Linked DNA regions of Mus musculus. The protein of the gene in region 1 interacts with the protein of each later gene in a biochemical or structural test. Links are inferred from orthologs where the notes say so. Each region holds a gene or a part of one and is shown in the gene's direction. Other genes may lie near its edges. The genes, in order: Cdc25c, Chek1, Cdk1, Chek2, Plk3, Mark3 and Cdk2.

What was found.
Region 2: of the proteins of Cdc25c (region 1) and Chek1, one has a biochemical effect on the other in vitro, tested with the Homo sapiens proteins (16 studies listed by BioGRID and IntAct, with this or other methods). The link is inferred for Mus musculus from reciprocal best matches to the Homo sapiens genes CDC25C and CHEK1.
Region 3: the proteins of Cdc25c (region 1) and Cdk1 form a complex in vitro, tested with the Homo sapiens proteins (3 studies listed by BioGRID, with this or other methods). The link is inferred for Mus musculus from reciprocal best matches to the Homo sapiens genes CDC25C and CDK1.
Region 4: of the proteins of Cdc25c (region 1) and Chek2, one has a biochemical effect on the other in vitro, tested with the Homo sapiens proteins (14 studies listed by BioGRID). The link is inferred for Mus musculus from reciprocal best matches to the Homo sapiens genes CDC25C and CHEK2.
Region 5: of the proteins of Cdc25c (region 1) and Plk3, one has a biochemical effect on the other in vitro, tested with the Homo sapiens proteins (2 studies listed by BioGRID, with this or other methods). The link is inferred for Mus musculus from reciprocal best matches to the Homo sapiens genes CDC25C and PLK3.
Region 6: of the proteins of Cdc25c (region 1) and Mark3, one has a biochemical effect on the other in vitro, tested with the Homo sapiens proteins (3 studies listed by BioGRID, with this or other methods). The link is inferred for Mus musculus from reciprocal best matches to the Homo sapiens genes CDC25C and MARK3.
Region 7: of the proteins of Cdc25c (region 1) and Cdk2, one has a biochemical effect on the other in vitro, tested with the Homo sapiens proteins (3 studies listed by BioGRID). The link is inferred for Mus musculus from reciprocal best matches to the Homo sapiens genes CDC25C and CDK2.

Annotation. Positions count from the first base shown.
Region 1 is NC_000084.6:34,745,034-34,748,533, reverse strand, and holds part of Cdc25c (M-phase inducer phosphatase 3), read left to right. Parts: intron 1-890; coding exon 891-924; intron 925-1,220; coding exon 1,221-1,310; intron 1,311-3,500. UniProt on the Homo sapiens protein: Functions as a dosage-dependent inducer in mitotic control. Tyrosine protein phosphatase required for progression of the cell cycle. When phosphorylated, highly effective in activating G2 cells into prophase.
Region 2 is NC_000075.6:36,716,659-36,720,158, reverse strand, and holds part of Chek1 (serine/threonine-protein kinase Chk1), read left to right. Parts: intron 1-466; coding exon 467-655; intron 656-1,723; coding exon 1,724-1,828; intron 1,829-3,500. UniProt on the Homo sapiens protein: Serine/threonine-protein kinase which is required for checkpoint-mediated cell cycle arrest and activation of DNA repair in response to the presence of DNA damage or unreplicated DNA.
Region 3 is NC_000076.6:69,342,913-69,346,412, reverse strand, and holds part of Cdk1 (cyclin-dependent kinase 1), read left to right. Parts: intron 1-181; coding exon 182-338; intron 339-1,228; coding exon 1,229-1,352; intron 1,353-3,500. UniProt on the Homo sapiens protein: Plays a key role in the control of the eukaryotic cell cycle by modulating the centrosome cycle as well as mitotic onset; promotes G2-M transition via association with multiple interphase cyclins.
Region 4 is NC_000071.6:110,838,549-110,842,848, forward strand, and holds the start of Chek2 (serine/threonine-protein kinase Chk2), read left to right. Parts: upstream 1-1,500; intron 1,501-1,862; exon of another isoform or gene 1,863-1,992; intron 1,993-2,657; 5' UTR 2,658-2,664; coding exon 2,665-2,995; intron 2,996-4,300. Other genes in the region: iron-sulfur cluster co-chaperone protein HscB isoform 1 precursor, read right to left, coding at 948-1,180. UniProt on the Homo sapiens protein: Serine/threonine-protein kinase which is required for checkpoint-mediated cell cycle arrest, activation of DNA repair and apoptosis in response to the presence of DNA double-strand breaks.
Region 5 is NC_000070.6:117,128,155-117,130,963, reverse strand, and holds the end of Plk3 (serine/threonine-protein kinase PLK3), read left to right. Parts: intron 1-146; coding exon 147-240; intron 241-372; coding exon 373-456; intron 457-558; coding exon 559-721; intron 722-874; coding exon 875-1,004; intron 1,005-1,564; coding exon 1,565-1,678; intron 1,679-1,785; coding exon 1,786-1,977; 3' UTR 1,978-2,309; downstream 2,310-2,809. Other genes in the region: Tctex1d4 (tctex1 domain-containing protein 4), read right to left, coding at 2,323-2,809. UniProt on the Homo sapiens protein: Serine/threonine-protein kinase involved in cell cycle regulation, response to stress and Golgi disassembly. Polo-like kinases act by binding and phosphorylating proteins that are already phosphorylated on a specific motif recognized by the POLO box domains.
Region 6 is NC_000078.6:111,637,021-111,640,520, forward strand, and holds part of Mark3 (MAP/microtubule affinity-regulating kinase 3), read left to right. Parts: intron 1-2,916; coding exon 2,917-3,020; intron 3,021-3,500. UniProt on the Homo sapiens protein: Serine/threonine-protein kinase. Involved in the specific phosphorylation of microtubule-associated proteins for MAP2 and MAP4. Phosphorylates the microtubule-associated protein MAPT/TAU. Phosphorylates CDC25C on 'Ser-216'.
Region 7 is NC_000076.6:128,699,746-128,702,051, reverse strand, and holds part of Cdk2 (cyclin-dependent kinase 2), read left to right. Parts: intron 1-607; coding exon 608-709; intron 710-1,932; coding exon 1,933-2,076; intron 2,077-2,306. UniProt on the Homo sapiens protein: Serine/threonine-protein kinase involved in the control of the cell cycle; essential for meiosis, but dispensable for mitosis. Phosphorylates CABLES1, CTNNB1, CDK2AP2, ERCC6, NBN, USP37, p53/TP53, NPM1, CDK7, RB1, BRCA2, MYC, NPAT, EZH2.

The DNA of each region.
Region 1 (3,500 bases):
TATTTTCTTTATTCATATGAGGTAACAAAAGTGCTTATTAAGAACAGCTATTGCAAAGATTAGATAAAAATGAGAGGCTGGCCTATATGAGACATTGTCTCAAACAAAACAAAACACCACCCAAACCAAAAATAAAAACATACTCCAAACAGACCCAGGTAACATGGTTTACATTTGTAATCTCAGGACTCAGATGGGAGAGGCATGAGAGTCAGAAGGTCAAGGCCAGCCTTAGGTACATAAAAAGCCTGAGGCCAGCCTGGGCTGTGTGAGACCCTATCTTAATACCACCTCCCACCTCTATCCCCACCCTACCCCCCCTCCCCCCAAAAAAAAAGAAGAAAAACAAAACATGTATCTAGCTCATACGAAACATTTTGTTTGTTGTTACAACCACTGTGGAGTCTCTCCTGGAGATTCTAAAATAGTTAGCTAGTGGGTATACAGAGAGTAAAAACTGATTTGAATGCAACTCTTTCAAACCTTAAATAGCCTATTTTGTACACACTAGGTAGAAATTTGAGAGGGAAGAAGAAATTAAAAAAAAAAAAAAAAGTAAGCCAGGAGTGGGGGGTGCCCTTTGGTGGTAGAATGTTTACCTGGCTTGTACAAGGCTCTAGGTTCCATCCCTAGCACTAAAATTTGAACAGAAGACAAACTCCCATTTGGTGCATGTTTATCTTGTATAGTTATGCTAGTGAATTGAGGGCCTTCCCCCCAGGACACCACTAAGTCTTGGATATCTAGTACCCTGAATATTGTTAGAAGATACATAGAATCGCAAAGACTAGGGCCCCTTGAACAGAAGAAACTGGGGTGCCCCAACCACTGAAGAACCAAACTGAGTATGGGGATTAGCTGATTAGTGCTTGTTTTTGTTTACTCTTCAGGGATTTTCACCAGGACCTTATGAAAGGTATCCCAGTAAGTAGACCTCCATCCCTTTCCCTCCCTCCCTCCTCTGCTCCCTCCCTCCTTTCCTCCCTCCCTCCATCCCTCTCTTCCTTTCTCTTTGTCTTTCTGTTAAGAGAGGGCCTCTTAACTGTGTTTAGCTACCTGGGCTGGTGCAGCCGTTGAACACTGAGACGGAAGCCATGTGCCACCAAGCCTAGATTTTCCTTCCTGACTTTGGTTTGTCTCTCAGGTGGATGGCAGAGGGTTCCACACAGCCGTGTGGCTGTAGCTGTTGGATGCTTTCTGTAGACATGTCTGTCTTTTAGGTACAGCTTCTTTGTAGTACTCCGAATGCTATGAATCATGGCCACAGAAAGAAGATTGCAAAGCGTAGCACATCTGCACATAAAGAAAATGTGAGTGTTACTTCCTAAACTGGGAACTGTCAGCTCTGTTCAGTTTGTTGGTTTAGATCTCAAGTTGCTGCTGCTATCCTGAAAATAACTGTTTGGAGAGCATCACAAACAGTGTGTGAGTGTAGGTTCCTGTAATGGACTGCTGGAAGTCAGTTTTTGCCTTTTCACATGGGTCCAGGGCTGGAATTCAGGACTTTAGGCTTCTTTCCCAGCAAGCACTGTTTACCACTGAACGCTAGCCCTAAATAATTTTACTTTGTAAGAACATACATAACATAATTTGTTCATAAATTCTTTGTGGGTTTTTTTTTTTTTTTTTTTTTTTTTTTTTTGCACTTTTATTGCTAAGGATTGGGTGTAGTCATTGTTCAAACAGCTCTTTCATGTCATTGAGCTATACCCCTGCCTTGTCTTGGATTCCTGAGGATGGAGCAGTATACAGCCCTAGTGCATGCCAGGCAAGCAGCAGCCTACAGCTCACTTTTTGTGTGCTGTTTTTAAGATAGAGTCCATGGGACTGGAGAGATGGCACAGCGGTTAAGAGCACTGGCTGCTCTTCTAGAAGACCTGGGTTCAATTCCCAGCAACCACATGGGAACTCAAAACTGTCTATAATTCACAACCTCACATAGACATACTTGCGGGCAAAACACCAATTTACATTAAGTAACAATAAATAAATTAAAGAAAAAAAATACAGGGTCCAGTTATGCAGGCTTTCCAAGTAGCTAGGATTACAGACCTGCACCAGTAGGCTAAACTTTCGTCTTTCATTCTTTCGGTATTAGGGATTGCATGAAAGGCCTCAGGTATCCTGAGCAAACACTCTGTCACTGGACAATTACATTCAGTGTCTGGCCTCCTTTGGCCTTTTTTTTTCTTTGAGACAGAATTTCATTAAGTTATGACCTTGAACTTGAGGTCCCATGTCAGTCTCTTAGGTGGGATTAACTGTGCACTACTAGCAGGCTCATATTAATTTTTTCTGATTTCTCCTTAGATAAACTCTTGAGGACACTATGGTCCTTTTTATATAAGCCTTACTGACCACTTACTACGATGATTCTTTAATCCGTCCATCTACACTGCTTTTCTAGCCGTCTTCTGTGTCTTCCATCCCTTCAGCTAGATCGGTGTACATGCTAAAGTGGCTATTCTAGTCTCTTTTCTTTCAGATTCATTTGTTTTTATTTTATGGGCGTGAGTGTTTTGCCTGTGTGTGTGTGTGTGTGCACCACATTAGTGCAGTGCCCACAGAGCTGGAAGGGTGGTTAGATTTTCTGCAACTGGAGTTGCAGGTGGTTCTTGGCCACCATGTGGGTGCTGAGAATTGAACCTGAGTCCTCTCTAAGTGCTCTTAACCACGGAGCCCTATCTCTAGTCCCCACTATGCTTTTATTCTTTCCTTATACTAGAGAAGATATGCCTGGTTTTAGGTGTTTATAATCATCTTTTGAAAATTACTACTACCTCTGCCCCTTAATTTTTTTTTCTGTATTTATTTATTATGTGTGTATGTGTGTCTGTGTCTGTGTCTGTGTCTGTGTATCTGTGTGTGTGTTTGTGTGCTCATGTGCCCGTAGAGGTCAAAGGACAACTTATAGAAGTCAGTTTGTTCCTTCTGTTTCTTAGGCCGCCTCAGTTCCAGGGCTCGAACACAAATTGTCAGGCCTTGCGCTGAGTACCTTTGCTAGCTGAGTCATCTTTCTATTCCTATTATTGCCGTTTTAATCTCCCCTTGTAAATCACTCTTTAAAATCTCACAGTCCAGGACTACAGAGGTGGTTCAGTGGTTAAAAGCACTTACTGCTTTTCCAGAGTTGCCAACACCCACATGGCAGCTCCACACCCATCTCATCTGTAAGTCCAGTTCCAGGGGATCGAGTGCCTTCTGGCCTCTGCAGGTACCAGGGGCACGTGTAACACACATATCTATGCAGACAAAACACTCATATACATAAATTAAATACACTTTAAAAATAATAAATACCTACAAATAAAATTGCAGATCCCTTCCCAAGCAAGCTTTCTTTCATCCCCTGTCCTTTTGCTTATGATGATAAAATCCTCCAAAGCAAATCTGTGTGTCAGACATCAAATCCACAGCATTATCTGTATCTTCAGATATGATTTAGTGATTACGTTTCTGTGTTTCAGGAGAGTTATTCATAGTTTGATCAGACGTGATAT
Region 2 (3,500 bases), on another chromosome or scaffold:
TCTTTGCTAAGTTGAGTATAAATGACGATGCCTTTTACTTTTTCTTCTTTTCCATATACATAGTTTTATTTTGTATTAATTATTTTACTTATTTACATCTCAAGTGTTGCCCCTTCCCTGTACCCCCTTGAAGAGTTCTTCCTCCCTTCCCCCCTCCCCCTCCCCTCTGAGAGGGTTCTTCCTCCGTTATCCCTCCACCCTGGGGCATCAAGTCTCTACAGGACTAGGCACATCCTCTCCTACTGAGGCAGCCCTACAAGGCAGCAACATATGTGCTGGAGGGGGTGGGGGTGGGGGTGGGGGTTCAGACCAGCCTATGACATACATAGATTTCTTTTGCTCATTTTCAGGTAGAAAAGTTCTATAAGCCCTAAGCAAAACCAGTGTTACTTCCAGTAATTTATATATGTGTATATATATTTGCAAATCTTTTACTCCAAAGTTGTCTCTTTTTCTTTTGGTTTAGATAACCTCAAAATCTCTGACTTTGGCTTGGCAACGGTATTTCGGCATAATAATCGTGAACGCTTACTGAACAAGATGTGTGGGACTTTACCTTATGTTGCTCCGGAGCTTCTAAAGAGAAAAGAATTTCATGCAGAACCAGTTGATGTTTGGTCCTGTGGAATAGTACTTACTGCAATGTTGGCTGGAGGTAAGGATATATAATCATGAGAAAACTTCTTTTCTCCAAAAAGTCAGATTTCTCATACCAAAATAATAAAGATTAAATAACCCTAGGGAATCTTAATTCTGTAATAGAAAAGGTTGTGAGCCCAGCCTTTAATCGTGGTGCATCTTTCCAGCTCTTTAATAGTTTTATGTTAGTGTTTAACTCATCGCCTAGGGCGATAGGTACTAAGTACCGTTCGGTGAGTGTGTTATATACAGATTTATTTCATATAGAACTTGAAGGCTTGAAGTCTGGGTGGTGAAGTTGCCAGCATGGTCATTTTCTGAGGGCCCTCTCTCTTCCTGCCTTACAGTTGACCACCTTACTGAGAGGAGAGACAGACTCTTTAGTGTCTTCATAAGGACCCAAATCCCACTTTTGAGGGCTTTCATACTCATGACCCAGTCACCCCACAAAGGCCCCACCTCCAGAATCATCACACTGGGAATGGGAGTGAGTGATCTGGCTGCAAACAGTGATCTTGGTTTGATTTGGTTGATTTGCCTGGTGAGGCTGATGTGGGCTCAGTTGAAGAGGACAACTTTTCCTGGATAGAAGAGGGTTAGCCTTCGGTGTATTGAGTAGCTTTGATTCCCTGCTAGATCCTCCAAATAAGCTCTCACATTCATTATCTTGGGGGTTGAGATTTTGGTATAAACTGTAGTGGGAAATAAACTTTTAACCCATTATACTTTATATCTTATTCTTAACTACCTTGAAACTTATAACCCAGAGGTTTATTTTCATGAAGTATAACCATTAAATTAAAAAATCTCAACACTTCCTTTGGGGTTGTTGGAGATTAAACCCAGGGCCCAATACCTGACAGGCAAGAATTCTGTCACTAAGTTGTATCTCCATCTTTAATATGATACCTTTGAAAAGAGTAAGTTTCTATGAAACTTAGCATGAAAACCATATTGAATTACTGTGGAGAAAAATTGTATTCTTTTTATGTTGTTCATTTTCCTTTTATGTGCTTATTTTTCTTGACATATTTGTTACGTAACTTTATGAACACTCAAAAACTGTAACTTGTTTTATTTTTAGAATTGCCGTGGGACCAGCCCAGTGATAGCTGTCAGGAATATTCTGATTGGAAAGAAAAAAAAACCTATCTCAATCCTTGGAAAAAAATTGATTCTGCTCCTCTGGGTAACTAACTGGGTTGTTTGAAAGTATTGATCCTGTGGGTAATAGTGTCATGGTAGTTGATTTTTTTCTTAACTCTCTCCCCCCCTTCTCCTTCTTTTCTTCCTCCTCCTCCTTCTTTTCTGACTTTTTTCTTCCTTCTTCTTCTCTGTAGTCCTTTTAACTACCTTAGAAAATGTAAGTCAAGAGGGAGGAAGGGAGGAAAGGAGGGAGGGAACAACTCTATAATTGTGGCATTTGGAAATACACTTTTAAAAATATTTTTAAAAAATCTATATATCAAATGTATACTGTATGTATATTAGTTATAAGTATATGCTTTTGCAAAAGGTAAATCCTATTTCATAACTCTTTAGTTGTGATGCTCAGCATTTTTCCACATCTTTAATTATGGGCCTGGATCATATTTTTAAAGACTGATGGTACTCATTATGTGGATATATTTTACTCTTTCAATTTAGAGATTTAGGTTTCTCCTTAATTTTACTTTTATAGAAGAAGTATGATAAGTGTCCATGTTACTTGATGCTTGTGTATCCTTTATTTGATTAAAGTTTTTTCTTCTCCCACAAGCAAGACTGGAGGGCTAAGAGACTATGTATTTCCCCTTTTAAGTGTTGCCCCTTATTTTACAAATTTACTTTTTAAATTTGTACCATTTTGTCATTTATTCATGTTACTTTTTTGCTGTATTTTGAAACACTGGGTTTCATTGTATCCTTGGGTGGTCTGGAACTTACTATGTAGATCAGGCTGGCATGGAACTTACTATATATATAATCGACCAGGCTGACTTTCATATTCAGAGATATTGGTCTGCCTCTGCCTAGTGAATACTGGCATTAAGTACACCACTATGCATGGCAAAAATGAATTTTTTAAACCAATAAGACTGTTTTTTAAAGCTTTTTAAATTTTGCTCTGTTTGAGCAAAGAAGTTTATAGTTTTTCTTAATCCTTTGAGGGTCTTTTCATAACGCATTAATGTATATAACGTTTGTTGCAGTATTTCCTAGAGTTTATTATTTAATTTTGCTGGCTATTTTAATGTGCAGATGTTTTGAGTTTTTCATACCTAAATTCTTGTCATTTTTGGCTTTTGACTTACATTGTCATGCTTATTAGAAAGGTCTTTTCTACTCTTTTTTTTTTTTTTTTTTTTTTTTTTGTAAAATTATTTGCATTCTCATTTGGTGTTTCTGTGGGTTAATTTTTATGTTTGATTGTTGTTGGCTTTGATTTTGAAACGGTCTTGTTTAGCCCAGGCTGACCCTGAGCTCAGTTGTGTAGGAGAGGATGATTTTGGTTTTCCAGACTCCACCTTCAGATGCTAGCACGCTTGTCTGTTTTGGGAGACAAGGTCTGTGTTGGCCCATGCTGGCCTGAATCTCAGGCTGGACCTGACTGTGGCAATCCTTCTGAAAGCTGGGACTAAAAGCTGAGTCACTTTTCATTCCTGGTTTAAAAGAATTGATTTATGTATGATTTTTGTTTTTTAAATGTAGGAGTGCTCTTCTGTATGTACACCTACATTGCCAGAAGAGGGCATCAGATCCCTTTATAGGTGGTTCTGAGCTTAACTGCCGAGCCATCTCACCACCCCCCTGGATTATGTTTTTGATGTTGTGATGTTGGGGATTGTACGAGTTCCTTTTAAAATTAATATATATTTCCT
Region 3 (3,500 bases), on another chromosome or scaffold:
GATGACTCAGTGGGCTTTATTTCCAAACCATGTATATGTTAGATCGTAGTTATCTTCAATGCCTTTTTGAAAGCAGTGAGGGTTTAATGATGTGAGGGGCCTATCTGACTGCAGCTGGCATTTCTCTCGTGTGATACTCAAAGAGTTCAACTTAGAAGAAAATCTCTTTGCTTTCTTTCAGGTACTTACGGTGTGGTGTATAAGGGTAGACACAGAGTCACTGGCCAGATAGTGGCCATGAAGAAGATCAGACTTGAAAGCGAGGAAGAAGGAGTGCCCAGTACTGCAATTCGGGAAATCTCTCTATTAAAAGAACTTCGACATCCAAATATAGTCAGGTGTGCTGTGTTAGAACTGAAGCCACTCTCCCTGTGCTGCTGCACATCTGTTTTAAAGTAGAAATTTTTATGTACTTTCTGGTTCAAGTGGGATGGAGTCCTGCTTTGCTGATGGTGTTTGGAGAATTTGAGACAGGGTGCTAGAATTGGCTAGAGGAGCAAGGCACAGCCCTGGGACCCCTTCCATGGGGAGCTTGCTTAGCTCCTACTTTTAGGGCCCAGGTCCCCAGAGGCTCCTGAGACCAGGGGCCAGGCTGAGGTAGATAAGCTATGCTTTATTGACTTGCTTGGGCTGGGTCATTGAGGACGTTGTCTGGTGGTTCATTAGAATTTCTGTTGGTAGGAGGGACTGAACCCAGGCCTTTGGGTAGAGCTAAGAAAGTGCTCTACCACTGAGCTGTAGCCTCTGGCCTCCTAATATGGGGTTTTGAAATTATTAAGACAGGATATTACTCTAGCTCACCCAGGTTGGCCTGGAATTTACTGCTGTCCTCTAGCTCCCAAGTGCCGGGATTATGGGTTTAAACCACCGCACCCAGTCTCCAGCACTCACAGAATTACCCAGGGTGACCTTGTGCTCACTCCATCCTTTGCATCTAGAGATCCTTGCCTTACTTAGCACCTCTGGTAGCTGGCGTGACCTGCCTCTGCCCCTGGGTTCTAACTGTTGTTGCACTGGGGCTGGCACTAGGGAGCAGCTTTAATCTTCTCGAGCAGCCAGCTTTAGGAGTGCAGGCGGTGTGAGCTAGCTCCTCCTGCAGAGGAGGCTGTGGACTACTGTCCTGAACTTCCGTCCTCAAGTTCTACTTGAGAGTGAAGGTCACTGTTAGCAGTTATGCTGTTGGAAGTGGAGGCAGGCTGCTGGCTGGACTCACGCTTGCTCTGCTCAGCCTGCAGGATGTGCTCATGCAGGACTCCAGGCTGTATCTCATCTTTGAGTTCCTGTCCATGGACCTCAAGAAGTACCTGGACTCCATCCCTCCTGGGCAGTTCATGGATTCTTCACTCGTTAAGGTAAAGAGTTGCGTGCTTTTACTAATACGCTCTCTGAACGTGGGCTCCATCCTTGCGTTTTGTGGCTGCATCTTAGAAAACCTGTAAGGGAAGAGACAGCATTTTATTTTCCTTCCTTCCACCGGATGAGATCATCATCTGCCTGTCTCATTTCCAGAAGGTTCTAGAAGTGAGAAGTAGCGTCTGAGCACCTAAGTGCTACCCTGTGGCTTATGTATCACATTGCTGGGGGCAGGCCAGGCTACAGTGGTTATGTGCAGATCAGCGACAGCAGCCTGAGCCCGGTGCTGATGCTAAGTGGTCTTACTCTGACAAGTAGGCTTTGGTTAATGTAAACATTGTATTTCAGTTAAATTATAATTGTATTTATTGTTCTTTGTGTGTGGTACCGGGTATTGGATCCAGGGCATTGTGTATAATTGGGCAAGTGTTATTCTCAGCAAATGGGTATAGGTTGTAAATGTCTATGGTAAAGGGGTCTTCACCTTAAACCGGCTTTATTTTTCCACTGAACTCTGTGCATGCCTTGAGATGTTCACGTTGACTTTGTATGCATCTAAACCCAGTGGGATCCTTCTGTATGTGCACTGCACACGTTAGTTAGCCTCTCATGTCTCTGTTTCGTAGTGGTTTAATACTTTGTACAGCTAGTAAACCATTTCCACTTAGATTACTTCCTACTTTAGTGATGGCTGCAGTGAGTCGTCATGAGTGGTGGTGGAGGTTCATTCTGCAGCCCAGGCTGGCCTTGAACTCTCATCCTCAAGCCGCCATCTCCCAAGTGTGGGCATTATAAGCATGTGCCACCACACCCACCACTTTATGTCATTTTAGAGGTGGCTTCTTGGAACTGTGATAAAATCTGTGTTTATATTTAAGATCATGGTTGATAGGTCCTCTAAAAATCAATTACTATTTTATTACATTGTTACCAAGACTTGACTGTATGTAACTTTTAAATAGTCTCAGTGTATTATGGGAAGGGTTTTATTACAGTTATTCTATTTGACATTTAACATACTATTGTGTTTACTCATTTTTGCATAACCTGTACATATTCACTCATCTTTCTGTATTTCAGTGGTTTCAAAAGTCATTATTACTAACACACGGTGACTTGCTAGTGGTGCCCACCACTGCCAGTGCTCACACTGTATGGCTATTGCTGAGATGAAGGCTATGGCCTCAGCAAGCAACTTGAGGAGGAAAGTGGCCGTTTGGCTTACACTTGCATGTAACTGCTCATCACCCCAGGAAGTCAGGACAGGAGCTCCTGGCCAGGAACTTGGGGGCAGGAGCTGATTCAGAGGCTGTGGAGAGCCCAGGGCCACCAGTCCAGGGATGGCACCACCCATGATGAGCTGGGCCCTCTCCCAGCGATTACTAATTAAGAAAATGCCTTACAAGCTTGCTTACAACCTGTACTTAAGGAGGCATTTTCTCAGTTGAAGCTTCCTCTCCAATAACTCTAGCTTCTGTCAAGTTGACATAAAACTCTCCAGCAGAGTATTCTTAATGATTTTTTTGTTGTTTTGTTAAAGCCATAATGTATAAGATCAAATGTTTTAGAATAATGTCAATATTTTTCTGCTCTCTCCTATCTCCTAACTTTTCTTAAGTTATGGATAGGGAAAGATTCCTTTGGCTTTAGGATTGGAAGGCTTGGGGACATTTCAGAGGGAAAGTGCTTATGGCACAAGCACGAGGAGCTGAGCTCTGGTTCCCAGGCTCCACATGGAGGTGGTGAGGTGGTGGTGTGGCTCCACATGGAGGTGGTGAGGTGGTGTGGACATCTATAAGCCCAGAGGCTGAAGGACAGAGGCAGGGGCTGCGGGTGGGATGGCTCTGTTGTGTCCCAGGGCCATCCATTTTGATCAAAATGGTGAACTTCAGGTTTAATGAGAAATATCTGCCTGTCACTCGGGTACCTACATTGAAGAGTGCACATGTGTGGGCATGCACACACTAGAGAAGTAGGTTACGAACAAACTTTTACACATTCCCAGTTTAAGCTGTTTTACATATTTTCCTGTTGTCTCAAAAGAGGAAATGCACGTGTAAAGTGACAGAAATGGAAAAGCACAGCTTTATTCAGGATAGAAACAGTTGACACGAGTGCTGAGGAAACTTCTGCACAGAAAGCTAACA
Region 4 (4,300 bases), on another chromosome or scaffold:
TTAGCCTATGTTGGGTTCCCACTTTTGACCCTTTTCCTTCAGCCTACTGAACACTGGGATTTTAGACATAGGCTACTACACTAGGTTTGTTTTGTTCTTAATTGCTTTCGGTTTTTGAGACCTAGTCTCATGTAGCCCAGAGTCTCATCAAACGTACAGGCTCAGCTGTACCCTCTGAGTGCTGGACTCACAGGCATAACACCAACACACCTGGCTTGTTTTGTATTTATTTTCTCCGTTAAATAAATAATTTATTTGCGATGAGATGTTCCCTATTTGTGTGGTTGGCCTCCAAGTGGGGTATCATCTCCTACGGTTGTCTAGCATGCTTTTAATCCTGGCATTGGTGAGGCAGAGGGGGTTGGTGGAATTCCAGGCAGGCCAGGCGAGACTTCAAGGTGAGGCTAAATTAAAAAACAAACAAACAAACAAACAAAAACCTCTCCCAGTTCCTGTAAGTTTGGCCAATGGATTTTCCAGAAGTCTCAGCCCTCAAACCTCCCTATACCGTAAACTTGTCCGTTTCTGTTTGTTGATGTTTAAAAACAAGGTCCTTGTAGCTACTGCTAGTCTTGAATTCCTGAACCTGTGTTTTCCACTTTACAAGTGCTTAGATCACAGACAGGCATCTGCAACTTCACTCCTGTTTGACCCCCGCCTCCACCCTTATCTTCTCTCCAGTCTGTAACTTTATTTCCTCTCCGTCTCAGGAAAACTCCTAAAATCTCACTAGGTACTACTTATACCTATGGCCTACACTTATCCATCTTTGTAGTTGTTTTGAATCAGTCTCGGCAAATTGCCTAAGATGGCTTTGAACTGTGGTCCTCAGCCTCAGACCCCCCCAAGCTGGCTGGAAATTACAGCCCCGCAGACGCGGCCCCAAGCCTAGATCGCTCGGGTTACGAAGCCCGAGCTGCTTTCCCGTCACGACGCGCCGCCCGTACCAGTTCATGAGGCTGAAGTAGTCACGAGTGGGGTCAGGAGGCTGCAGAGCGCGGCAGTGTGAGCAGAAGAACTCATCCCCACACCCGACTTCCCTTGCGTGACCGCAGTTCCAGCACTGCGGTGCAATGCTCTTCCCCGCGGCGGCATTGCTGCCCAAAAGTCTCCTTCCCAGGAACCCTGCCAGCCGCACCTCCCACACACCCAGCAGGGCACGGGCTCCGCATCCCCACATTGGGACGGCCGCTCGCTGACCTAGGTAGCAAGACCCGAGGGAAAGGAGGAAAGACCGTCTCGCTGCTGATTGGTTAAGGGAGTCGAGGAGGCGGGATTAGCCGCGGGAAACCAAGACGTCGAGTCCCGTTCTGCATGTTAAACTACAACTCCCAGCAAGCCTTGAGACTAATCGCGGCAGTCATCTTCGGGCTTTCTTACTGGTCCTGCCGGGGAGGAAGGCTTTTTGATTGGTTGAGGGTGGAGTTTGTATCCGTAGGTTTAGCGCCACTCCACTGGCGGAGGCTGTGCAGTGTTTGCGGCTCCTGGTGGTCTCACGCGGTGAGTCATAAGTGGGAAACTTTAAGTGTTTGAGGAGTCGAATACCGTTCTCATGCTTCTTGTGCAAATGGGCCCTCTGCAGCTTCCGCTTTGTCTGCTTTCTTGTGCGAGCGAGGGGGCGCTGTGCATAGTCAATTCTTCCTTTTTATCTGCCCTTGGGGCGCGCGGGGGGGAAGCGGGGGGGAAGTTCACTTTCCTTGTTCCTTGTGAGCTGAAACAGGTCTGGGCACATAGGAAGGCACAACGCCGGGCTGTTCGTTGCCAGAGCGAAGTAGTTTTCATAACGAACATTATAAATGTTCATGCCAGCCCCTAGATGGCTTTCCCCAAATACCTACTGAGAACCCGATCTTCGCTGCTAGGCTCTGCAGGAACTGAAGAGGGTACGTCTGCATACTCAGCATACGTGAGGGGTAGGATGGCAAGGAATGGATAGGAGACAACCAAGCCATTCTCAGCTTCTGTACATGAAGGAAGATGGTGTAATGCTTTGTAAGTGGCCTCTGGAATTCTATTCATAATCCTGGGATTTTGCTATGGTCACTTTTTTTTCTCCCCACTCATGAATGGGCCTGTCTTTCATTTTGAGGTGGTCATAATGTGCCCGTTCCTTTAAATTTCTTTATGTATTTTTTTTAATCACGTGTCTAAGTCTGTGCAGTGCGCACGGGGGCCAATAGAGGGCATTGTATCACCAAGAGCTGGAATTACAGGTGTTTGTGATCTTTTGGATGTGGGTGCTGGGAACTGTACTCTTGACTCCTTAACTGTCTTCATTTTGTATGTTTGACAATACTGGGAGTGGGATCCAGTACTTTGCTTCTGTTGGAGAAGTGATGAACCATCTACCATTGAGTTATAGCAGCCACATGACTAATTTTGGGTAGAGATTTACTTTACTTTTAATTATGTTATCTGTGTGGGAAAGTGCAAGTGTGAGCTCTGGTGATTGCAGAGGCCAAGATCCACTACAGAGCCACTGACTTTGGAGTTATAGGAAACCTCGAGCTGCCAGATTTGGTGCTGAGAACGTAGGGAAACTTGGGTTCTGCAAGAATAGTATGTGCACTTTCCTGCCGAGTCCTCTCCTGCTCCCTCCCCTTCTCCACTCTCGAATCCAGAGCCTTGTTCCTTATTGTTGGACTCTTGTTTTCGAGGTCGGATATGAAGAGTCATCATCAGTCCCACAGCAGCACCTCCTCGAAGGCTCATGACAGTGCTTCCTGTTCACAGTCCCAGGGTGGCTTCAGCCAGCCCCAAGGCACTCCTTCTCAGTTGCACGAGCTCTCACAGTATCAGGGTTCGTCCAGCTCCTCTACCGGCACAGTGCCGTCCTCCAGCCAGTCCTCGCACTCCAGTTCTGGGACTCTGAGCTCGCTGGAGACAGTGTCTACCCAGGAACTCTGTTCTATTCCTGAGGACCAAGAACCTGAAGAACCTGGTCCTGCCCCTTGGGCTCGGCTATGGGCTCTTCAGGATGGATTCTCCAATCTAGGTAAGGCACTTTGTTATATGATATAGTGTGTGTTCAGAGAAACAGTTAAAGAAGGTGGTTAGGAAAAAAAAAAAGAAGGTGGTTAGGTTGTTGCAGCAGAAGTCTCAGGGCCCCTGTGGTAGAGTTTATCTCCTCCTGGTGGCCCTGTTCATACTGAAGATCAGATTTAGGCCTTACACATAGTAGAGAGCTCTTACATTGAACTACATCCAAGGTCCTATCCCTGGCTACCTTATTTTTATTTTTAAATAGAATCTTGCTAAATTTCATAGGCTAGCCTCAAATTTTTCTTTTTTCTTCAGAAAAAAGATTCTATTGTAGCCTGAGTTAGCCTTGAACTCACTATGTAGCTCAGCCTGGCTGTGAACTTTTGATCTTCCTGCCTCTACTTCCTAAGTGCTGGGTTTATAGGCACACATTTTTATCAGGCTCTACTAGTTTGTTTGTGAGACAAGGAATTCTGCAGCCCAGGTGGGCTTGGAACTCACAGTGTAGTTCCTTGGGGCCTTGAACTTGCATTGATCTTGTCTCAGTTGGGATTACACATATCGACCATATGTGGTTCAAATTTATTCATTTGAATGTGGAGACCTAGCTCATTCTGAGACAGTTTTGAAAGATACTTGTATTAGTCAGGGTTCTCTAGAGGAACAGAACTGATAGAATGAGTATGTATGTATGTATATATAGGGACTAATTAGAGTGGCTTACATGCTATGGTCCAGCTAATTCAACAATGGCTACCCAGGGGAGGTGTAAGAATCCAGTAAGAATCCAGGCAGGATGTCTTAGTTGGTCTTTAGTATACATTACTATCTTGTAGAAGTATGCTCTAGGGGGTTGGAGAGATGGCTCAGTGGTTAAGAGCACTGACTGCTCTTCCAAAGGTCCTGAGTTCAAATCCCAGCAACCATGGTGGCTTGCAACCATCTGTAATGAGATCTGACACCCTCTTTTGGGGTATCTGAAGACAACTACCATGTATTTACATATAATAAATTAAAAAAAAAGTATGCTCACTAGTGCTCAGTGAAGGAATGAACTTGCCAGTAAGAGCGAGATCAAACTGGCAAAGCTTCCTTTTTTCATGCCCATTATATAGGCTGCCAGCAGAAGGTGTGGTCCAGCTTAAAGGTGGATCTTCCCACCTCAAGAGATCTGGATTAGCCCAGATGTGGTAGTAAAAGGAAGCAGAGGCAAAGTGAGCTCTGAGTTTGAGGGTAGCCTGGGAGTTCCAGGATTGCTAGGGCTACACAGAGGGACTCTGTCTCAGAAAAACAAAACAAAACAAAACAAAAAAACCCC
Region 5 (2,809 bases), on another chromosome or scaffold:
GGTGGCCTAATTGGCTGTGTCTCATTAGCCAGCTGAGGCTGACCTGGGGTGCCCTGAGAGCCGCCAGGGACAGGGCTGGGCCATTGGACTTTCAAGGATTTGGATTTTGGGGCCTAATTTTATTCCCTCTCTCCCCAACTGTCCAGGCTCCTGTAGTTTCAGGCCAGGCCCCTGCCAGCTTGGTAGAGACAGCTGCCGAGGACAGCTCGCCCCGTGGGACACTGGCCAGCAGTGGAGATGGTGAGGAGCCACAAGATGAGAGGTGCTAGGGGCTGCTGAGGTAGAGACCAGGGGCTGAAGGAAGTAGTTGGCTGAGGGTGAACTGGGCCCAGGGTGGCTCTTGCCTAAATGTCAGTGCCCTATTCCCTTCAGGGTTTGAAGAAGGTTTGACTGTGGCCACAGTGGTAGAGTCTGCCCTCTGTGCACTGAGAAACTGTGTGGCCTTCATGCCCCCAGGTAAGGCTGGACTCTGGTGCATATGAATAGTTTGCAAGTCCAGAGGCGGTGGGGGGGAGGGGGGTTGGGGGAGTCTTCATTTCCCTCCTCTCCTCTTAACAGCCGAACAGAACCCAGCCCCGCTGGCACAGCCAGAGCCTCTGGTGTGGGTCAGCAAGTGGGTTGACTACTCCAACAAGTTTGGCTTTGGCTATCAGCTGTCCAGCCGCCGTGTAGCCGTGCTCTTCAATGATGGCACACACATGGCCCTGTCAGCCAATAGGAAGTAAGTGCTGTTTTGGCGTGCTTTGTAATTAGGCTTGCTGGGTACCACAATACCAGCAGGGTTGCACCGTGGTGTGTGTTTCTGTGCTTAGGGGTCTGGGGAAGAATGGTGGTGCCGGGTTCCTCCTCCTCCTCTCTACGTTCCCACTTTCAGGACGGTGCACTACAACCCCACCAGCACGAAGCACTTCTCCTTCTCCATGGGTTCTGTGCCCCGAGCTCTGCAGCCTCAGCTGGGCATCCTGCGGTATTTTGCGTCCTACATGGAACAGCACCTCATGAAGGTGTGTAGGCTGCGGTGGGGGCACTTTAGGGGGCAGGGGTGGCTCAAAGGTAGTGGCTGAGGGCTGGGGAGATGGCCCAGCGGCTAAGAGCATGGACTTCACTTCCGGAAGTCCTGAGTTCAAATCCCAGCAACCACATGGTGCACAACCATCTGTAATGGGATCCAATGCTTTCTTTTTGATGTGTCTGAAGACAGCTACAGTGCACTCACATACATAAAATAAATAAATTGTGTAAAAAAAAAAAAGTGGGGCTGGAGAGATGGCTCAGCAGTTAAGAGCACTGGCTGCCCCTCAGATCCTGAGTTCAATTCCCAGCAACCACATGGTAGCTCACAACCATCTGTAATTCTGTAATGGGATCTGATGTCCTTTTCTGGTGTGTCTAAAGACAGTGACAGTGCACTCATATATACATAAAATAAATAAATTAATTTAAAAAGCTAGTGGCTTTTAGGGAAAAAAAAAAGCTAGTGGCTGAACCTGTAAGGGAAGGGGGCATCCATAGGGAGAGACCCAGCTCATGCCAGTCCAGGGGCCTGACTTGCCTCTTCTCCCAGGGTGGAGATCTGCCCAGTGTGGAAGAGGCGGAGGTGCCTGCCCCACCCTTGCTGCTGCAGTGGGTCAAGACTGACCAGGCCCTCCTCATGCTGTTCAGTGATGGCACTGTCCAGGTAAGAGCCTACCCTGTGCTTTGGTGGAAGGTCTGGTATCCCAGGGTTCTGGGAAGGAATGTGGATCTGGTGTCCAAGTCCTGATCGCTGTTATCTTCTGTGTACAGGTGAACTTCTACGGGGACCACACGAAGCTGATCCTCAGTGGCTGGGAGCCTCTCCTTGTGACCTTCGTGGCCCGCAATCGCAGTGCTTGTACTTACCTCGCTTCCCACCTCCGGCAGCTGGGCTGCTCCCCAGACTTGCGGCAGCGACTGCGCTACGCTCTGCGCCTGCTCAGGGACCAAAGCCCTGCTTAGGTTCCAACTCGGAGAGCGGGCTGTGATCCAGATCCTGGGCCTGAGCCTGAAAGGCTTCAGGGCCTTGCCTTTGTGGCCCTTCCTGTCCCTTTGGTGCCTCACTGGGGGCTCCTGGCTGAATCCCCCCAGGGAATCAGGGACCAGCTTTACTACAGTCGGGGATGGCCTGCCCTCCCTGAATCTTACCCTTCTCTCTGAGATAAGCCTGAGCCTTAGCTCCCAGCTAGGGGGCATTATTTATGGACCACTTTTATTTATTAACAGACATTTATTTATTGGGATGTGAGCCCCAGGGGGGCCTCCTCCTGGGGTAATAAACCGTTTTTTCAGAACTTGAAGGCCTTATCATTCCCAGTAGACCGCGTGGACGGTAGCCACAGCAAACAGAGAAGGGTTGGTGAAGGTGGCAGAGGCCAGTCCATCGTGCACCGCATCCCAGAGTGCTCGGCTGACCACATGCACACCCTGTCCCTCGCGTGGCCCCAGCACCACGTTGCACACGAGTTTGTAGCGGGGTAGGTTGAGCTCCCTCACGCGGGTGTGTATCTGTTCACATAGTGCCTGCACCAGTTTCCCTGCCTCAGAACCGCAGTAGCACACACCGTTCAGCTGTGTGGTCAGTGCTGCCTCCAGGGCCCGCTGGGCACCTGCAGCTTCCCAGTGTTCCCCAGGCGCCGGTTCTAAGCGGTATGAGGGTGCCATCCTACGGGGAAGCATCAGGGGCAGCCCAGAAAAACTAACTCGTGAACCTAGAGGGGGCACTGGGCCCAGGGATGGTCGTCGACCTCCAGGACCCACTAAGGGTCCCGCCAGTGAGTTGCGGCGCGAAAAG
Region 6 (3,500 bases), on another chromosome or scaffold:
GGTTGGTGTTGAAAATGAAGTTCAGGGGGCTGGTGAGATGGCTCAGCGGTTAAGAGAGCCGACTGCTCTTCCAAAGGTCCTGAGTTCAAATCCCAGCAACCACATGGTGGCTCACAACCATCTGTAACGAAATCTGATGCCATCTTCTGGAGTGTCTAAAGACAGCTACAGTGTATTTACATATCTTACTTAAATAAATAAATAAGAAAATGAAGTTCAGCCAGGCACGCCTTTAATTAATCCCAGCACTTGCGGGGCAGAGACAGGTGGATTTCTGAGTTCGAGGCCAGCCTGGTCTACAGAGTGAGTTCCAGGACAGCCAGAGCTACACAGAGAAACCCTGTCTTGAAAAACCAAAAACAAAAACCAAAAAAAAAAAAACAAAAACGAAAATAAAGCTCAGTTGATAGTGTTTACATAGCATGGGAGAGTCCCGAGTTGAGTTTTTGGCATCACATAAACTAGGTGTGGTGGTGGATAACCCTAATCATTGTGCTTGGAAGGTATAGGCAGGATGATCAAGGAGTTCAAGGTGAAGGGACTGGAGAAATGGGTCAGTAGTTTGAAGAGTCTTTGCCGAAGACCAGAATGTGGTTGCCAGCACCCCTCAGGTGAATAACAACCATCTGTAACTCTGGTTCCATGTGTACCGACTACCTGTGACATCTGCCAGTACTTGTACTCATAAGTAGACACATAATTAAAAATAACATAAATTGGGGCTAGAGAGTTATCTCAGAGCTTAAGAGCACTTGTTTCTTATCCAGAAGACACAGGTTCAATTCTTCCCATCATACAGATGGTGGTGGCTCAAAGCTTCCTGTAACTCCAGTTCCAGGAGATCTAATACCCTCTCTGATCACCATAGGCACTTTACACACGTGGTGCACAGACTTGCATGTAGGCAAAACACACACACACACACACACACACACAAACTTCAAGGACTGGAGAGATGGTTCAGTGGTTTAGGGCACAGACTGCTCTTGCAGGGGTCCTGAGTTCAATTCCTAGTAACCACTATATGGTGGCTCACAGCCGTCTGTCATGGTATCTGATGCCCTCTTCTGGTGTGTCTGAGACAGCCACAGTGTACAATCCAATGAATTGTAGTCCGTATATGCAATGGACTAGCACTCAAGCTTTAGGAGGAATGAAATGTTACCATCTGATGATAGCCGTTTAGATTGTTTCTACCTGTTAGACATAAAGAGTGACAGTGTAAATATTTGTATAAAATGTCTGTGGCCTAGAGTTCTCTGTTCTGTGTGTCTGTGTGCGGTGTATGCTTGTGCATACACTTGCCTGTGTGGATGAGGATGAAGGACCGAGGTTGACAGTGGAAGGAGGAGGAACCTCTGCCCCTGACGCTCACTGATTAGGTCAGACATCCTCATGCCTAGAGAGGTCGGAAGACAGCTTTGGAAAGATGTTTCTTTCTACCTGTGGGTCCTAGACGTTGAACCAAAATGGGGTCTCACTATGTAGTCCAGGGTAGCCTTGAACTCTTAGCAGTTCTCCTTCCTCAGCCTCAGAAGTGCTGGAATGACAGCTGTGACACTAAGGCTGGGTTTTAGGTTTTCATTTCTCCTGGGTTCCTAACTAGGGATGCAATTGTTGGCTTGTGTTGTAATTAGATCTAACTTTGAGGAACTGCCAACTGTTTGTTTTCAATTCTTTTCAGCAGTAAATGAGTTATCCTTCTGACTCCTATCCACACTTCTGTGTTTATCATGTGTGGTATATATACATGTATGTATTCCCGGGTGCACACGAGTGTACATGTGAAGGTCAGAGGTTACTCTCCAACTTGTGTTTGACACAGCACGGTGTCTTGCTAAACCTAGAACTCAGCTTGATTGGTTGGCCAGCAAGTCTGAGGCATCCACTGACTCCATCTATGCCCCCAGGATGTGCTTGCAAATGCACACTCACTCCATGCGTTCTACTACATGCGTTCTGGGCTGCTTGCATCTGAACTTGGGTCCTTCTCAGAAAGTGCCTTGCCCTTAAGGTCCTTATATTTTCATTTTTTATTGTAGCCATCCGTAGCAGGTTTGCAGTAATAGCTTATGGTTTGGAATTGCATTTACTTAATGACCAGCAGTCTTTTCATCATTTCCTCTGGAAGAGCAGCTAGTGAGTGCTCTTAACTGCTGAGCTCTCTTTAGTCCTGGTCCTTTATACTTTTTTGTTGTTGTTGTTCATACTTATTCTATGCTCGTCTGTTAATGTGTTGTCATGTTTTAATTTTAAGGAGACTGGAATGACGGCTCATTGGCTAAGAGTGCTTTCCGTTCTTGCAAGGGACCAAAGTTTAGTTCCCAATACCTACAATACCTATGGGTGTGAAGCTCACCACCACCCATAGTTCTAGCTCTAGAGGATCCAGTGCCCTCTTCTGGCATCCTCACGAACACACATATGTGTGCATGGACACTTTTTTATTTGTCTGTTTGTTTGTTTGTTTGTTTATAAACGACTATGTTAGTCTTGTAAAATGATTTAATGAATAAATTGCCTGCCACCCAAGTGTGAGTACCAGAGTTCAGGGCCTCAGCACCCACATAAAACCCAGATGGGTGTGGCCACTTGCCTATAGTCTCAATACTGTAAAGGCAGAGACAGGATGTCCCTTGGAAAAGCTGGCTAAATACTCCAGCCTCAGTCTGAGAGTTCTGAGTTCAGGTACCTCCTCAGTCAGTAGAGAATAATTCAGAAACAAAGCAGACACCAATCTCTACCCTCCAGGCACAGACAGCACCTCTCTTACAGGTTTTTTTTTATTTGCATAAATAGTGTTTAGTATATTTTTTTGTTTTTTGGGGTTTTTTTTCTGGTGGGGGAAGAGGGTGGTTCTTACTAAATTATACTTATCACCAAATAGTCCAAAGTAAAAATGCTCCTTTCTTACAGAGTAACACAGCATCTGGTGGGATGACACGGCGGAACACTTACGTTTGCAGCGAGAGATGTGCAGCAGACAGACATTCTGTGATTCAGAACGGCAAAGAAAACAGGTGTGAAATTTACCTATTGGCAAAAAGAGTTTTCTCCCAAAAGAAGTTAAAGTGTGTTACTTCTCACTTTTATAATCAATTTATAATTCAAATGGCTACCAATTATTCTTTTAAGGTAAGTAAACTTTAAATGTTAGTTTCTAGCAAGATATTAGGACTCCAGATTTCTCTCTTTGTCCAGAGCCTCTACCCCTATAATCAGCAGTTGTGACAAGGAGGAGTTAGGGTCAAAGCAGGGAGTTTCTGAAGGACCGATAGCATTTCCTGACCATGTTGACTAGGGGATGCTAACACTAACAGCTTAGAGAGAAAGAGAAGCAGGTGGGAGCCTGAGGTCAGGAGCCACACCCAGAATGAGAGCGCAGGGAAAGGTCAACAGCCTGCTCCCAGGTGCAGGTGGCCAGTGCCAGCGTAGTCTCCTCCTCAGACTCTAGGGGCACAGAGTCAGTCTGTCTTTGCAGTCCTTGAAATACTAGTGAA
Region 7 (2,306 bases), on another chromosome or scaffold:
AATTCATACAAGGTTGCCTGGACAGATACTAGGCCAGGAAAACTGGTTGCTGTATTGTCTAAATATCTCAGATTTTCCAGGAAGGTCCCAAATCTGGGGATTTAGTATTACACTACTGGATAGACAGATGGCTTAATAGTTAGGAGCATATAATCTTGCAGATGACCTGAGTTAAGTTTCCAGAGCCCGTGTCTGGCAGTTTGCAGTCACCCCTAACTCCAGCTCCAAGGCATCAGACACTTTCTTCTGGCTTCTGAGGGCACTGCACAGTTGTGGACACCTACATAGACGTGCATATATGCACGTTATTGGAATAAAAAAATAATAAATCCCCCCCCCCCCTTTTTTTTTTTTTAAGCTTTTCGAGACAGGATTTCTCTGCGTAGCCCTGGCTGTCCTGGAACTCACCCTGTAGACCAGGCTGACCTTGAACTCAGAAATCCGCTTGCCTGCGTCTGCCTCCCAAGTGCTGGGATGAAAGGCGTGTGCCACCACTGCCTGGCAATAAAACCCTTTTTAAAAAGAAGCTGAAGGTAGCAGGGTTTTGTTGAACTGAGGTATGTGACCCTGCCTGCCTTGTAAGCCCTGTTGTCTTCTTGTTCCCCAGGTGGTGACCCTGTGGTACCGAGCACCTGAAATTCTTCTGGGCTGCAAGTACTACTCCACAGCCGTGGATATCTGGAGCCTGGGCTGCATCTTTGCTGAAATGGTATGGAGGCTTGCCAGGTTCTATGCTGCCCACCCATGCCCACATCCAAGAGCAAAACCTTTCTGGAAAAGGGTTTTCCGGGAATCATGGACCTTTTATCACAGGGTTCTCTCAAGTATCACCACTATGGAGGTGGTTGCCCCGATACCAACTACAATTTTGGAATATTCGTAAACACAAGTTATCTAATATATATATATATATCTTATCCCCTGAGTGAGCTCAATCCATTCTGTTACCTATTCCGCCATTTTGTTTTTTGTTCTGTTTTTGAGATACTCTCATTCTGTAGCCCAGACTGGCTTTGTATTCTTGATCCTTTGCTTCGGCTCCACTTTCCACCATTACCATCTCGCCCATGGGACTGACTTGACAGGCATGAGCCACCCTGCTGGCTCCACTCATTCAGCTGTTTCAGCCTTAATCCTCAAATATTTGGAAGAATGAATTCCATTTAGTACAACAGGTGGCCTACAGACCACGTGCTTCCAATGATAGCTGTGAACGTGGTCTCAACACAAAGTCATAAACTTATTTAAAACAGAGTGGGTTTTGTTTTGTGAGTGATAGGGTTTTGTTTTGTTTTGTTGCTTTTGATTGGTTTGGGTTGGTTTGCTTGTTTGGTTTGTTTGTTTTTGTTTTTACAAGACAAGGTTTCTCTGTGTAGCCCTGGCTGTCCTGGAACTTATTTCGTAGACCAGGCTGGCCTCAAACTGAAAGATCTACCTGCCTCTGCCTTCCAAGGGCTGAGTTAAATTAGGTGTGCGCCCAGCTTTGGTTTTTTAACATTTGATTTAATAGTATTTGAGCTTGAACATTGTGGATGAGAATGTCATGTCACAGTGTCAAGGGTTGGGCAGGTCTGTTTTGTTCCCTTTTGTCCTATAGACCTCTTATTCGAAACAAGGAATTTAGTAAAGGCAAGTGGTCTAACTGACCCATGCCTATTGGTTTTGTAGACTTGGTCATGCCCTGCCCCTCAACCTCTGGCTTTTCAGACTGAAGGATCCCTTAAGCCTAGCCTCATATGGGAGCTCCCATTCCATTTAATACAACAATGGGTAGACAGATGAGAAATATTTTTATGGTCCTTTGGGTTGAAACTGGGGACTTGGAGACCATTAGCCTAGATATAGGTATACATATAGAATGTGAATTTATCCACCAGTACCTTACAATTGCCCATATTCCTCTCTCAATTCATCAAAAAAATATTTGTTAAGCACCTAGTGTGTACCCAGCACCATGCTAAGTGCTGTGGGGAACACAGAAGAAATGGAAGACACAGTCTCTGCCCGCTGTGCTCCTATCTAGAAGTGGCTGCATCACAAGGAGGGGGGATGACCGCAGTGTCTGCCCCACACCCCGTGAGTGGCTTGGGATCCCTTTGCTATGCGTCAGGGGCACCCCAGACAGTCACCCCCTCCCAGCCCCACCCAGCCTCGGGAATCTATGAAGCCACGGTTGGGGGAAGGAAGGAGGGGCGAGGAGACAGATAAGGGACTTCATTGTCTCAAGCTCTGTATGACCGACCCCATGATAAGCCCTGGGGAGGGGAGTCATGGGCCCTGCTGCCCTTTCACTGCCTATGGGAACC